2 linked regions of the Caenorhabditis elegans genome follow. The protein of the gene in region 1 interacts with the protein of each later gene in a pairwise test. Each region holds a gene or a part of one and is shown in the gene's direction. Other genes may lie near its edges. The genes, in order: eif-2gamma and C05G5.1.

Evidence for each region.
Region 2: the proteins of eif-2gamma (region 1) and C05G5.1 interact in a two-hybrid assay, tested with the Caenorhabditis elegans proteins (one large-scale study listed by BioGRID).

What each region holds. Positions count from the first base shown.
Region 1 is NC_003279.8:2,311,195-2,316,629, forward strand, and holds eif-2gamma (protein-synthesizing GTPase), read left to right. Parts: upstream 1-2,076; 5' UTR 2,077-2,116; coding exon 2,117-2,126; intron 2,127-2,180; coding exon 2,181-2,269; intron 2,270-2,313; coding exon 2,314-2,519; intron 2,520-2,576; coding exon 2,577-2,967; intron 2,968-3,801; coding exon 3,802-4,410; intron 4,411-4,461; coding exon 4,462-4,566; 3' UTR 4,567-4,798; downstream 4,799-5,435. Other genes in the region: 5-cytosine rRNA methyltransferase nsun-4, read left to right, coding at 648-851; tbca-1 (Tubulin-specific chaperone A), read left to right, coding at 1,316-1,504, 1,556-1,702; ekl-7 (PEHE domain-containing protein), read left to right, coding at 5,115-5,195, 5,246-5,393.
Region 2 is NC_003284.9:14,734,104-14,742,199, reverse strand, and holds C05G5.1 (MFS domain-containing protein), read left to right. Parts: upstream 1-2,080; 5' UTR 2,081-2,193; intron 2,194-2,263; 5' UTR 2,264-2,344; intron 2,345-4,721; 5' UTR 4,722-4,824; coding exon 4,825-4,920; intron 4,921-5,177; coding exon 5,178-5,333; intron 5,334-5,381; coding exon 5,382-5,464; intron 5,465-5,950; coding exon 5,951-6,167; intron 6,168-6,217; coding exon 6,218-6,398; intron 6,399-6,788; coding exon 6,789-6,961; intron 6,962-7,162; coding exon 7,163-7,502; intron 7,503-7,564; coding exon 7,565-7,689; 3' UTR 7,690-7,758; downstream 7,759-8,096. Other genes in the region: F33C8.4 (DUF7758 domain-containing protein), read right to left, coding at 7,881-8,036.

The sequences.
Region 1 (5,435 bases):
TTGGCACGACAAATTTTTTTGTTAAATAGGAAAATATATGCGCCTTTAAGGAGTACTGTAGTTCCAAATTTTTTGTTGCATCGATTTTTGAAAAACTCCTTGAAAAATGATGACAAATATAGTTTTTTCTCGATTTGTAAAAAATTCGAAAATTGATGAAAAATCGATGAAAATTTTACAAAAAACGTGAAAAACTCAATTTTTCAAAACAATATTCGGCTATTTTCCAATTTTAGTTTAAAAAAAATCGCATTCTGCATTTTTTTTTGCGCTCCCTGCCGTGTTTGCGTATTTTCACCGCTACAGTACCCCGAAATGCTCAAATTTTGCTCTGATAGTTTCACAAAAGTTTAAAATGTGAAGAAATCGTTTCTTTTAACACTATAAATCTCGAATTTTCACTAAACAGTTGAGAAAATCAAATCAAAATTTCAAATTTTGACGATTTCCGTTTAAAAATTTGATTCTGGCTTCAACTCTCGCCCGATCCCAACATTTTCCCTCAAAAAAAATCCCGAAATTCTGCATGCATTTTTTCGTAGGATCCGGTGATTGCGTACTTTCGCGGCTACAGTACTTCTGGCGTGTCGAGACCGGGGTTTTTTGTCGAAATAACAGCTCAAAAATGCTAATTCAAATTTCTTCAGGCAGTCGTCGAGAACGCTGTAGCCGTCGTACGCAATGACTTTGGAATCGTGACCGTCGAGGAATCCCTACATCAACTCGTATCCCATATGACGTCATCAGGCCTCTATCGTTTCCATGACACTCCACTGGGAGCCCTCGTCGTGCCGTTTCTACCCTCTAACTTTGGACCAATGTATATTTGCAAACTGACCAGATTGCAATAGATTTTTAATATTTGATGAATTTTTTTAAATTTCTAGATTTTGCTATTTTTTGTTTGTTTTTTTTAAATCTGAATTTTTAAATTTATGTCTTGTTTTAAAATTTTATTATTTATGCAGTACCCCCATGGGTGCATCTGCCGTTCCATCAGTACCTAATTTCAAATTCATAGAATTTTTCATTGATCCTTCTTGTTCGTTCTCTATGTATGTATTGCGAAATCATTTGAACAGTCGATTTTTTGGCGGGAACCTGTGTCGCCCAACAGACAGCGGTCAATTTGTATTTATTTCGAAATCGCCGAGCGTGTCTGACCATCTGCTCGCTTTCCCGTCCTTTTTCGGCTCATTGAGCACAACATTTTCGGTGGTATTGCGCCTTTTTCTATCGATTTTTAGTCCATAAAAGCAAGCTCACAATCTCGTTCTCTGTTTCAAAAATTCACATTGCAGAACCTCCCGCCGCCATGTCGACCCAAGCCGATCAGCTGAAAGCGCTCCGAATCAAGACGGGAACCGTGCAACGTCTCGTCAAAGAAGTCGCCTATTACGAGAAGCAAGTTGTGAAGGAGGAGCAGAAGGCTGCCCAACTCGCCGCCGACGCCACCAACGAGGACGAGGAGTATGTTGCCAAGAAGTCGAAGGATATTGTTAAGGTTTTTTGAAATAATCCGATTTACGAGTATACGAAATTAAAATATTTTCAGGAAACTGCCAACATGGTCCGCGATTCTCAATCACGTCTCCAAAAAGCTGTGGCCGACCTCCGTGAATCGATTGCTTCTGGGAATTATCCGGAGGAAGCCGCAGAATTCGTCAATGCGAAGACGCTTGTGGACTCCATTTCTGCTTAATTTATGATACTCTTTTGTTATTTTGGGATTTTCGGTGATTTATGATGAATAATTATTGCATTTTACTTGAATACATGGTTTATAATGCCGTATAAATAATTTTAAGAAGCAATTTCGCTAATATTTCCATACGAAAAATATACAGATGTCCGTTAATTCAACGATTTTTGCCTGGTTCGCGCTAAAAAGCAAAACATAAAATTCGAGCTCGTAAATCGACACACGAAATCGCATCGAGACCCTTCCAACCACTCCCATGCGCCTTTAACCCATTTCTAATTTTATCCAATTTTAGCCTGTTTTCTATGCAATCTTTATGGATTTTCAATTAATTTTGAGTAATTTCGATTAATTATAATGATAATTTTTTAAAGATCAATAATCGACTCAACTGGGATCATAAAAACAAAAAATATGGCTTCTGGTAAGTGTTAGCTTTTCGGTTTCAAGAAAATTTCATAATTCTTTCTTAATTTAGAAGCTGAAAAGGACAAGTGCCAGAGCTGGCTTGCGAAACAAGATTTGGACAAAGTCGGAGTCGATAATTTGAACCCACTCACCGAGGAGGTACTGAAAATCAATAATTTTTGAGTTAAAGAGTTATTTTTCAGGTTATCTCTCGACAAGCCACGATTAATATCGGAACTATTGGCCACGTAGCCCATGGAAAATCCACTCTGGTGAAAGCGTTCTCCGGTGTGCATACTGTCAAGTTCAAAAGAGAGTTGGAAAGAAATATTACTATCAAACTTGGATACGCTAATGCAAAGATCTACAGATGTTCTAACCAAGAGTGCCCAAGGCCAGGATGTTACAGGTTATAATATCTCCCTGAAATTTAATTTAAATAAATAATTTTTGAATTCTAATTCAGATCCGCCGGTTCATCAACACCCGATCGGTTCCCATGCGAGCGCGCCGGATGCGGTGGAGAATTCACCTGTGTTCGCCACGTCTCATTCGTCGATTGCCCAGGTCACGACATTCTTATGGCCACCATGTTGAACGGAGCCGCTGTCATGGACGCCGCGTTCTTGCTCGTCGCCGGAAACGAACCATGCCCACAGCCACAAACATCTGAACATCTCGCCGCCGTCGAGATTATGCAGCTGAATCATTTGATGATTCTTCAGAACAAGGTCGATATTATCAAGGAGTCGCAAGCCCGCGAAAATTACGAGCAAATCGCCGGATTTGTGCAAGGAACGGTCGCCGAGAATGCTCCAGTCATCCCGATTTCTGCGCAGCTTAAATATAATGTTGATGTAAGGATCTGAATCTGGATTTAAATATACCACGCTCTCCTCAAGTGTTCATAATTATTAGAGCGCGCTCGCGCGGCACCACACGAACTCCAGAATTCGCGGGAATTCGTTTCGCGGGGACAGCAGTTTTTGGCTATATTCGGCTTCTATGGAAATTATTTTTAATTTTTTTGATTTATAATATTGTTGAGAAGCACCATCCGAATTGAAAATGTGTAAAATTATGAAATCTGACCGAAAACTGAAGTTTTTACAGAGAGGAGTCACCACGGCTTTCTTTAAAATGTATCAGTACCGTCAGTTTTTCGAATTCAGAGTCGTAAAATATGTCATTTTGTAAGTCTGTTTCACGAAAATCCATGTTTGAAATTTTAATTTTTTAATTTCTAATATAAAAATATTCAAAAAATCAACAATTTTACGTTAGAATCTAATTTTTTCAAATTTTCAGTTTTTCATAAGAACAATTTTAAAATTTCAAACATGGATTTTTGTGAAACAGACTTTTCTCTACAAAATAACATATTCTACGACTCTGAAATCGAAAAACTGACTGTACTGATACATTTTAAAGAAAGCCGTGGTGACTCCTCTCTGTAAAACCTTCAGTTTTCGGTCAGATTTCATAATTTTACACATTTTCAATTCGGATGGTGCTTCTCAACAATATTATTAAACAAAAAATTAAAAATAATTTCCATAGAAGCCAAAAACAGCCGCCTAAAACTGCTGTCCCCGCGAATTCTGGAGTTCGTGAGGGGCCGCGCGAGCGCGCTCTAATAATTATGAACGCTTGAGGAGAGCGTGTATACTAGATTAATTGCGATTTTTCAGCTCGTTTGCGAGTATCTTTGCAAGAAAATCCCCGTGCCAGTCCGTGACTTCAAGTCGCCGGCTCGTCTCATCATTATCCGATCATTCGATGTTAACAAGCCAGGATCTGAAGTTGAAAACTTGAAGGGAGGAGTCGCCGGAGGAACATTGACCAAGGGAATTCTGCGCGTCGGACAAGAAATCGAAGTTCGCCCGGGAATCGTCTCAAAAACCGCGACCGGTCAACTCCAATGCCGTCCGATCTTCTCCCGTATCGACTCTCTGTTTGCCGAAAAGAACCAGCTGGAATACGCCGTTCCCGGCGGTCTCATCGGTGTTGGAACGAAGATCGACCCGACACTCTGCCGTGGAGATCGACTCGTCGGTCACATCCTCGGAGCCGTTGGCACTCTTCCAGATATCTTCATCGAAATTGAAATCTCCTTCTATCTTCTGAGAAGATTGCTCGGAGTTCGTACTGAAGGAAAGAAGAAGGGAGCCAAGGTGCAGAAGCTTGTCAAGGAAGAGACTTTGCTGGTGAACATTGGATCGTTGTCAACGGGAGGAAGAGTTACTGCTGTGAAGGGAGACGCCGCGAAGATCAGATTAAACGATCCTATTTGCACAGAGGTAATTCCCACTTTTTATAAAATAATAAATTTAATTTGTATTTAAATTCAGGTTGGAGAGAAGATTGCCATGTCACGTCGTTTCGAGAAGAGTTGGCGCCTGATTGGCTGGGGAACCATTCGCAAAGGTCAAACCGTTGAGCCGTACAAGAACTAGCGGCTATCATCGATTTGTTGTCTACACCGGTTTTGACATATTATTAATCTTTTCCAATTGTTTCTCTCCGTTTTTGTCTCTCTATTAGTCCAAAAAATTTTGTCGGATCCCTGTTTTGGTTCTTTTTTCTGTCCTCCTCCTGTTTCCTACTATTCCACTTCCAGTTTCATTGATTATTTTTCTTTTTGTTGAAAGTGTGCTTGGTGTTTTTTCGATAAATTATTGGATTTGAGTAAAATCTGGAAATACATTTTATAATTGCAGCAAAGATTCAGGTTTTGAAAAACAAAACGAAAAGTGCAGGCTACAGTAACCCACCTTAAAGGGAGGTTTCATTCCTTGCGCAGATGGTCTCGCCGCGATGAGACTTTTGTAGAATGTTTACGGTGTTGTAGGCCGCTAGAAAATTTTCGAATTTCATCTGAATTTCTCTTTATTTTCTCCAATTTTCTCAAATTTTTGTTCGAAAATCTGAATAAAATGTATAAAACTTTTATTTTAACGCCTCGATCGGATAAAACATACACTCTAAATGATAAATTTCAGCGATGCCGGCCCCGAAATTCATCGAAGGTCCGAACACTGTTCAAACGTCACTTTACGGCTATGACAGGAGCAAGAAAGTGCAGGTAATACTCTGAATTGTGCGATTTTTTCCACCCACTAAAACATAACCTAGTTCCAGCTGAACAATTTACGCGGGAAACCAATTATGGTGCTCCGTTCTGATACGGTCATTCCAAAAAACGAAGAAGCACCTCCACCACGAAGCACCTTCGCCAAGAAGTGGGTCGATCGCAGTCGTCATATTCCGACAATTCCACTATGTAGGCGACAATTCCATGTCCTTAACATTTCCCAAAGAAAAT
Region 2 (8,096 bases), on another chromosome or scaffold:
TGAAACTAATAAGCTTGTACATACTCACTGCCTACTATAAGTCATCCATATAAAATTTAAGGAAAACCGTAAATTGACGAAATACGTCAAAACTTATTTGCCGCCCTAATACAATTAAACCATTTTCCTAGCTATCCTTGATTTCGCTGGAAGAAACACTGTTTAAAATTAGAAAAAAAAAAACTGTTTTAATATGTCTATCTATTTTAATGATGTACTAGATTAGTCAAAGTTCCATAATAATTAGCAGCAAAGTTCAGTGATTTGAAGAACAGAAAACAGAAAGCATAAATCATCTTTAAAATTTTTTGAAGAATATTCTGATTGGTTAAAAAATAAATTAGAAAATGTGTCATATTTATTGGTTCAAAAAGGTATAACGTTTAATTGGCGATTGTGATTATTCTGCTCCTCATTTAAGCAGACAGGGAGCAGAAAAGCTTAGTCGGTATTGGTAGCAATTTGGAGGTCACAATTTCAAGTCCGGGCTCACTTCCTAGGTTCACCCAGTCTCTATTGGAAAGTGAAGCAATCCACGGCTGGATTATCGGCCACAGTCTCCGGCTAGGACGTGGCTTAAATTATAGCCCAGTGGGAGCACAACCAGGCAGTGTACCTAACTCCCAGATCCGCAGTGCGTTGCGCTTGAAGAACGAATCGCCCTTTAATCTTTTAATCCTTTTAAATATTTCATTCGAAATATAGCAAGTTTCAAATATGGTTTACGAAAAAATGGTTCAAAAAGTATATAACTGGGCATTCTACTATTTACGTTTCAATTTATTCAAAACTCTAATGTTTTCAAGTACTCTTCGTTTGGTTAAAATATAAGGGTCTAATGGAATTACGATTTCTGTTTTATACTTTTAGAACAAAGCATACATCTGTTCTGTAATCTGTTCTGTATTTTTGAGTGTTTAAATTTGCAGGGTTAAAACTGTATTTCCTTTTAATTTTTTTCCAAAACCAATCTAATTATGTTTCATTTTTCATAGTTTTTGAATAATATAATAAATATACATACTGTGATAATTTATTTATCTGCAGATTGTGAAACGTGCGACAGGGTAGGTAGGCTCTAACTGTTGCTCTTTCAAGGAGTAGTACAACAATGATTATTCAAAGAATTTAAATGAATTAAATCGCTATGTGCAATTATTCCATAAGTGTTCACCTGATGATTAATTTAGCAATAAAAATTCCCAAAAACTTATAATATGTCTGCCGCAATATTTCCTATTAATCGGATCACCAAACAATTACAAAACTCACACCCGTTCATTGTAATCATTCTATTGACTTTTGCATTGTTGAATCAGCCGGGCAATGTATGGTAAGCCCAATGATCAGCGAATAGGAAACCCCATATAATAATATTGGCCAGTAGGTCCCCAGAAAAATTTTAAGTCTACATCTCGACAATGATAAATATTGGCTTTAAAAATGCAAAAATGCATGTCTTATTGAAAACAAAGATATTTCAGAGCTATGAGGTTCAAGAATTGATTAGGTAACAAAATCATAAAACAACTTACAGGTTTAAACCATTTTCTGGAACTTTCGTTTGCTATCTGAATCTATAGCTTTCACTGTTATTTTAACTAACAGTTTACAAACAGTAACCATAAAATATCATCCGAAAAGAGAAACACAAACAATACTTTTTTGGAAACAAAAAAAACTATTTCGAGTTTCACTGAAAAGTAACATTTTTAGAGCTCTTTATTTATTTTCAACTTTTTGTACCAAAAAATGGCAACCCTGGCCGAAACTGAGTCAGTGAAATTCCATTTTTAATGTTTTGTTTAGAATTTTTTTGGGTTTGAGAGCATTCAATTAATTTCAACCAAATAGTTTCAATAAAATGTATCTTCATTTTTAAAAACGTCGAAACACTTTCCAAAACTTAAAACTGATACTTGCTTCCATACAAGACTACACACAAAACACACCGACTCCCGGTTGTGCTCGATAGTAAAAAGAAATGAAACGTGGTTCAACTACATTTTTCGGAATGTCCTCAACTACTGGACACGTGTGTTTGCTCTCCTCACTCTCGCATACATATTTAGTTCCTAGCGTGCTTTTCTGCGGTTTCCTTTTTCTCTAATACTGACCATTCATCAGTTGCAAAAGCGCACCACTTAGAGTTTTAATTTGCTTTTTCTTCTTGTTGCTATCTATTTTTTTTCAGTAAGTAATTTTTTTAAGTTAATAAGAATACTTCAATATTAATTTTTAAAAGTCTTCAATTAATTTCCAGAACAAAGAGATTGAAAGCCAGTGAAAAATTGATTTTTCAAAGCACGAGTACTACTGGGTTGGATTGGTAAACACACATGAGGTGAGAGAGGTATAGGAAACAAAAGCTAAAAACAAAAAATAAATAATAGTGCAATTTCACTATTTTTTCTATTTTATGCAAAAAAATGTATGAGAAATTAAAATTTTTGCTTTTTTAAAATGTTTTTTGACCTGTGGTTGTAGTATTTTGATGTTGCATTTACTTCCTGCGTGACGTCCTTATCATTTTGCTGAAGTTTCAAATTTATGATAAATGCACTAAAAGTTTCAAGCAAATAGTGAGTTTATCAGCTTCAAACTTTTTTCCCTGTTGAAAAATGTATAGTAATTTAGAAGTTTCACGTCTGCACTCAAAATTTAAAATTAGAAAATGCACTTGAAGTACTTACTAGAATTACGATTCTAATAGTACTGCATTCTTTCATTACTTTTTCTTTGTTTGACACTCATTACAATAGTAGGTAAATATATTTTTATATAACTCATTCCATAATTTTTCAGTAATTCCTATAAATGATACATACTTTTCTTAACTCATAAAAATTATGTCATTTCGAAGTGAAATTCTCTCAAGCTGATTTGAAAATGCTTATAAAAAATTGAGCTTGAAAACAAAAAAAAACCAATATGTGGGTGGAGACTATTTAAAAATGGAGTAGCGCCAGTTGGGAAGTTGTTACAAGCATGTATAATAGTGAAACTTTTTTTTTTAATTTTAAAAACTTTTATTGACTGCCAAAAAGGGGCCTTACGGAGTTTTTGCCACTTTTAGAGAGAATTCGAATCCTTAAAATGTTAAGTATCAATATTTGAAACATAAATATATCATAAAAGTCGGTGAAATTTTTTATCAAAAACGCAAAATTGAGATTTTTCCAATTTTTCAAAAATAACCTTTTTTTTTATTTTGGATTTTTAAAAAATAGCTTCTCCATTATTGTTTCTGTTTTTTATCGTTAACCAGTTCTTCTAAAAATGTGTATATTAAAAAAAATTGAAATTCCTACAATTGACCTTGCCAATACATTGACATTTTCCGTTTTTGATTCGGGTATATATAAAAAGTTTAAGTGTAGTGAATACTAATACTTTCAGTCAGACATTTTGCTGAATTTCAAATTACATTTCAAATTAAAAAATTCTGTTCAAACACTGCACAAGTCAAAATGACTCATTCCTTCATATCACACATCAACATATACGAAAACTCTAGTAAATTGACTTAATTTTCCAATAATGCGATTTAAATGTTCCAAACAACGGAACGATGATTAAACGTTTTCTAAATTGTTTATGATTCTTTGTTTTCATAACCGAATAATCTTTTCTGGAAAGGCGGGGCAAGGCGTAAGTTGTTCTAGTCACAAGGAAATGTAAATAAATTGTCATTACGATGGCTTATCAACCAGTTCAAAATCGGTTCAATTTCCTATTCCGCCTTGCCATTTGTCATTTTTAGATGAATTTTTAGTTAGATTTGAAAAGATACAATACAATTCAAAGTATTATGTGTGTAGGAGAATTTGTCAATATAATCTAAAATAAAGGGAATGAAAAACATATGCTACTACGTATTTTAATTCTTTATTAACCTTTTTATGGTAAATTCTAACTATACATTTTTTTCCCCCGATATCGTTTGAGAATGTAAATTAGTAACCTTTTGGCTACAACTTACAAGTGCTTTTTCTATTGAAATATTTGAATTTTTGTATTTTGATTTTAAATCTGTGTTGCGACTAGACACTATTAACACAATTTAATCAGACCCACGTCAAGAGGTGACTTTAAAACTTTTAATCGTCTTTCCAGTTCACTTTTTTCTTCGCCAATTTCTTAGTGTCACCATGTGTGGTCTGAGGAATGCCTAATGCTTGTTCACATCGCTAATTTGGTTTATCAATTCACAGATCACTTTTTTTTATTTATTGCATTACTAAGTTAACCATACCCAAAGTATGTATTTTGGTCTTGTTTACTAATCTTTCACAGTCGAAGAATTCCCACCATTTGAGACCTGTTCTCTTTTTATTACCTTTGCAAAAATCCTGCGATAAACCCCTTCTCAAAAAAATATGAGAACATATTATATGTATCAAGAGAAATTGATATAGCATCATAACCACGATATCTTCTCAATTTCACTTTCAAATGAGAGAGATAATAATCAGTTTTTAGTTTCCATAGTTACACTACATTGTCCTAGAGTTTGTGAGCACTCAGGGCACACATTTTTCAGAGTAGAGTGTCATTTTTCTAATCAACCTGCAAGCAGTGTAGAGGAGGCAATTCCTTTTTGCTTTACATTTTTCGATGATAAAACCATTGGTCGTAGATCAGTCGGTTACAACAACCACGCTTCACCCTTACCTCTTCCTTCCTTTTCTCTTGCCTCAATTTATTGCATATTATTTCAGCAGCAGAGCACACATCTTACGTTGTCAGAGAGGAAGAGGATCAGTGTTTTCACAACTTATACTATTTGTTTTCCACTGATAACATCGACGGCATCGCTTGATAATGATTAACAGCATGCTGAACGAGGATTATAGGGTTTACCCCAAACGATGGATTTATTTGCTGGCAGTGAGCATGATTAACTTTTCAAATGGAAATGTGAGTAACATCATTATTGGAAGAAAATAATTAAATGACGAACATGATCATGTGATTTGTTTATAATAGATTTTCAACCTAGACTTCATGTCGTCGTAGATCATATCAAATATCATTGAAGATAGCCAATATCAACTAAACAGAAAGTGACAAATGATGATAAATCGTTCTTCTTCTGATAACTAGAAATCTTAGAAATCAAATGTTCTATCATCAATTAAAAATGTTCATGATCATAAAAACAACCTTTTCTCCAGACATGGATCACATACGCGGCCATCACTTTCTACACTAACAACTACTACTCCAACTCAAATGCAGCTCTATTTTTCAACGTTATTTTTATGGTTTTATCGATTCCGGTGGGATTCTTAGCATGCTGGTGGATTGATAAGTTTGGACTCCGATCAGCGGTAGGATAATCTGACAAAAATGCTGATCTAGAGCTAGATGTATTGCAGTATCACATTGGAACATGGGCAAATTTCATCGGAAACATTATTCGTCTGGTTGCGTCAGGGACTTTTATAGACCCGTCACTACGGTATGTGGTTTTGGGGATTTGAATATTGAAGTTTAAAATATTGGTTTCATTCTATCCAAAATGTTTATTTTAATTGTTTAAAATTTTAATTCTAATTGCAATCTATGTTTATTATCATAAATTTATATGTATAGTCCAGGGCTCTCATAAAGTCTCCATAACGGCACCTGCACCGGCTTTACGGCGTGACTTAAGCCGCATGTATCCGGATGCATAGTGCGGTGCAAAACCCCGAACGTGTCGGCCACTTTCAAACAACTACATCTTTGCACTACGTTGCGCACACACCAAGCTACTACTCATTTCACGCCAAGCTGCGGAACCCCGAACGTGTCGGCCGCTTCCAAAAAACTACCTTTTCGCATTACGTTGCGCAGACACCAAGTTTCAAAAGCTTGACTAAGTTCAAAACTGATTACCCTAGACACTAAAAATGCCTACCATTCTCTTAAATTATTGAATGCGAAAAAACTCTCAAGATTTCAGATTCCCAATTGCTATAACCGGACAGGCAGTAGCCGCTTTTGCACAACCATTTGTCATGTTCCTTCCCACAAAACTCGCAGCATACTGGTTTGCGGATAATGAGAGAGCTATTGCAAATACACTGTCGTCAATGTCGAATCCCATTGGAATCGCTGTCATGTACTCATTGGCACCTGTATTTGTAAATAAGACAACTCCAGACAACTTTTTCAATATGGTAGGAAAATCCGTTCTTTGAAATTGAATCTTAGAAAAAAAAACCTGCAGAACATAGCAGTAACGGCTGTGGCTGTCATTCCTGTAATTCTCTCCTTGTTCATCAACAAGTCAAAGCCACCTACTCCTGCAACACCTTCCAGAGATACAGACGTAGATGCCCCGCCATTTTTGGAAGGTGTCAAAATATGCTTCAAATCGAAAACGTTCATTGTGCTATCCATTTGTTTGGGTGAGTTGTTGACAGTCAAATTTAAAACAACATTGCCAAAAAGTATGCCTGATTAATGTTCAGTACAATAGTTTAATACAATAGTGCTCATAATTGTCACAATACCCACAGAGTGACCAGAAAAATTTTTTGATCTTCCTAGAGAAACATGAGTTATCATCATTTTGTAAATTCACTTTTTCGTTAGACTTACACTTTTTCCAGCAGGAGGTCAAAGTCCTGGGAGTATTCAGGGCAACTGTGCTTGCCAGATTAAAATGTTTTTGATTTTTCGAAATGCGGAAGAATTAACATACATCTTGACAGTCTAGTTTCCAATATGTCACGTATGCACATTTACAACCTAGAAACTGCCAAGTAAATGTCTTTCAAAAATGCTTTAATTTTTAGGCGGAGGAGTCGGTCTTTTCAACGCGTTGTACAACAATCTGCAGCCAGCATTGTGCGTGAAAGGGTATAACCCGACGTTCAATGGAGGAATGGGAACCTTGTTGATCATGTCTGGACTCGTTGGAGCAGCTATCAGTGGGATCATTGTTGACAAGTGGGGAGAATTTGAAAAAGTTAGTTTAAAACTATGGATATCTGGTGGCAATGCATTTTTGAACTTCGACGTACCAAATACCGGTTACCGAAAAGTTACCAAAATTTCTGCAATTTCCAATTAGAAAAAACAGTAAAACAACTAGATTATTTTCTCCTTCTGAACATAGCTTTTAGATCACACTCTCTACACATTAGCTTCACATTCCACAATTTTTCAGGTAATGAAAGTATCATTTTGCATTGCCGGAGTTGCAGCAGCTTCCTTATCAATTTGTATCAACTACGAGGGTGTGCAGTGGTGGGTGATACTCTCGATTTTTATCTTTGGAGCTGCTGGATTCTCAATTTATCCGATTGGTCTCGAGATGGGAGTTGAGGCGACATTCCCAGTGGCAGAGGCCACGTCAACCGGACTTATTATCATGATTGGACAGGTTCAAGGAGTATTTTATGTGATTATGACAAATCTAGCTGTCGGAAAACCGGACCCTCATGATATGGCCATTCAAACGTGCGTGGACACCAACTCTCAGAATCATACGGTGTTAACTTGGAAATGTAAGATAGAGTTTTCATTGTTTTAATTAAAAAATTATGCATTCTCAATTTCTTTTTTTCAGGGCCATTCCTTATCTGGCTAATTTGCATATCTGTCCTTATAACTAGTTTTGTGGCATTCTTCTGGCCTAAGTACAAGCGAAGGAATTACGAGCAGGGAAAGAAATGGAACGAGTTAGATCTTTAAATCTATGTGTATACATATGTATTTATGAAACCAAAAACATATTTTCAATGAAAATTTGAAAAATTAAATGTTTATAGGCAAAGAAAAAGTTTATAAGAAAATTGAAAAAAAAAATCGGAGAACCAAAACTTAATTACACGGGGGTGAATCGGAAATGCAAAAAAAATCGAAAAAAATATATGAAAAACCGTTTAATCTTCATCATCATCAATAAGTTCTTTCTCGTGTTTTGCATCGGTTATCATTTTATTGATAGTGTCAATGGCTTTTTTGGTATCTCTGTAGTCTTCATCTTCCAGTGTACCTTTGCCAGCGAATTTGGCTTCTTTGGCGTATGATTCGCAAATCTATAAATTTGAGTTTCTTTTGTAACACAATGTGATGATCTTGGAGTATTCAGGCCTCAC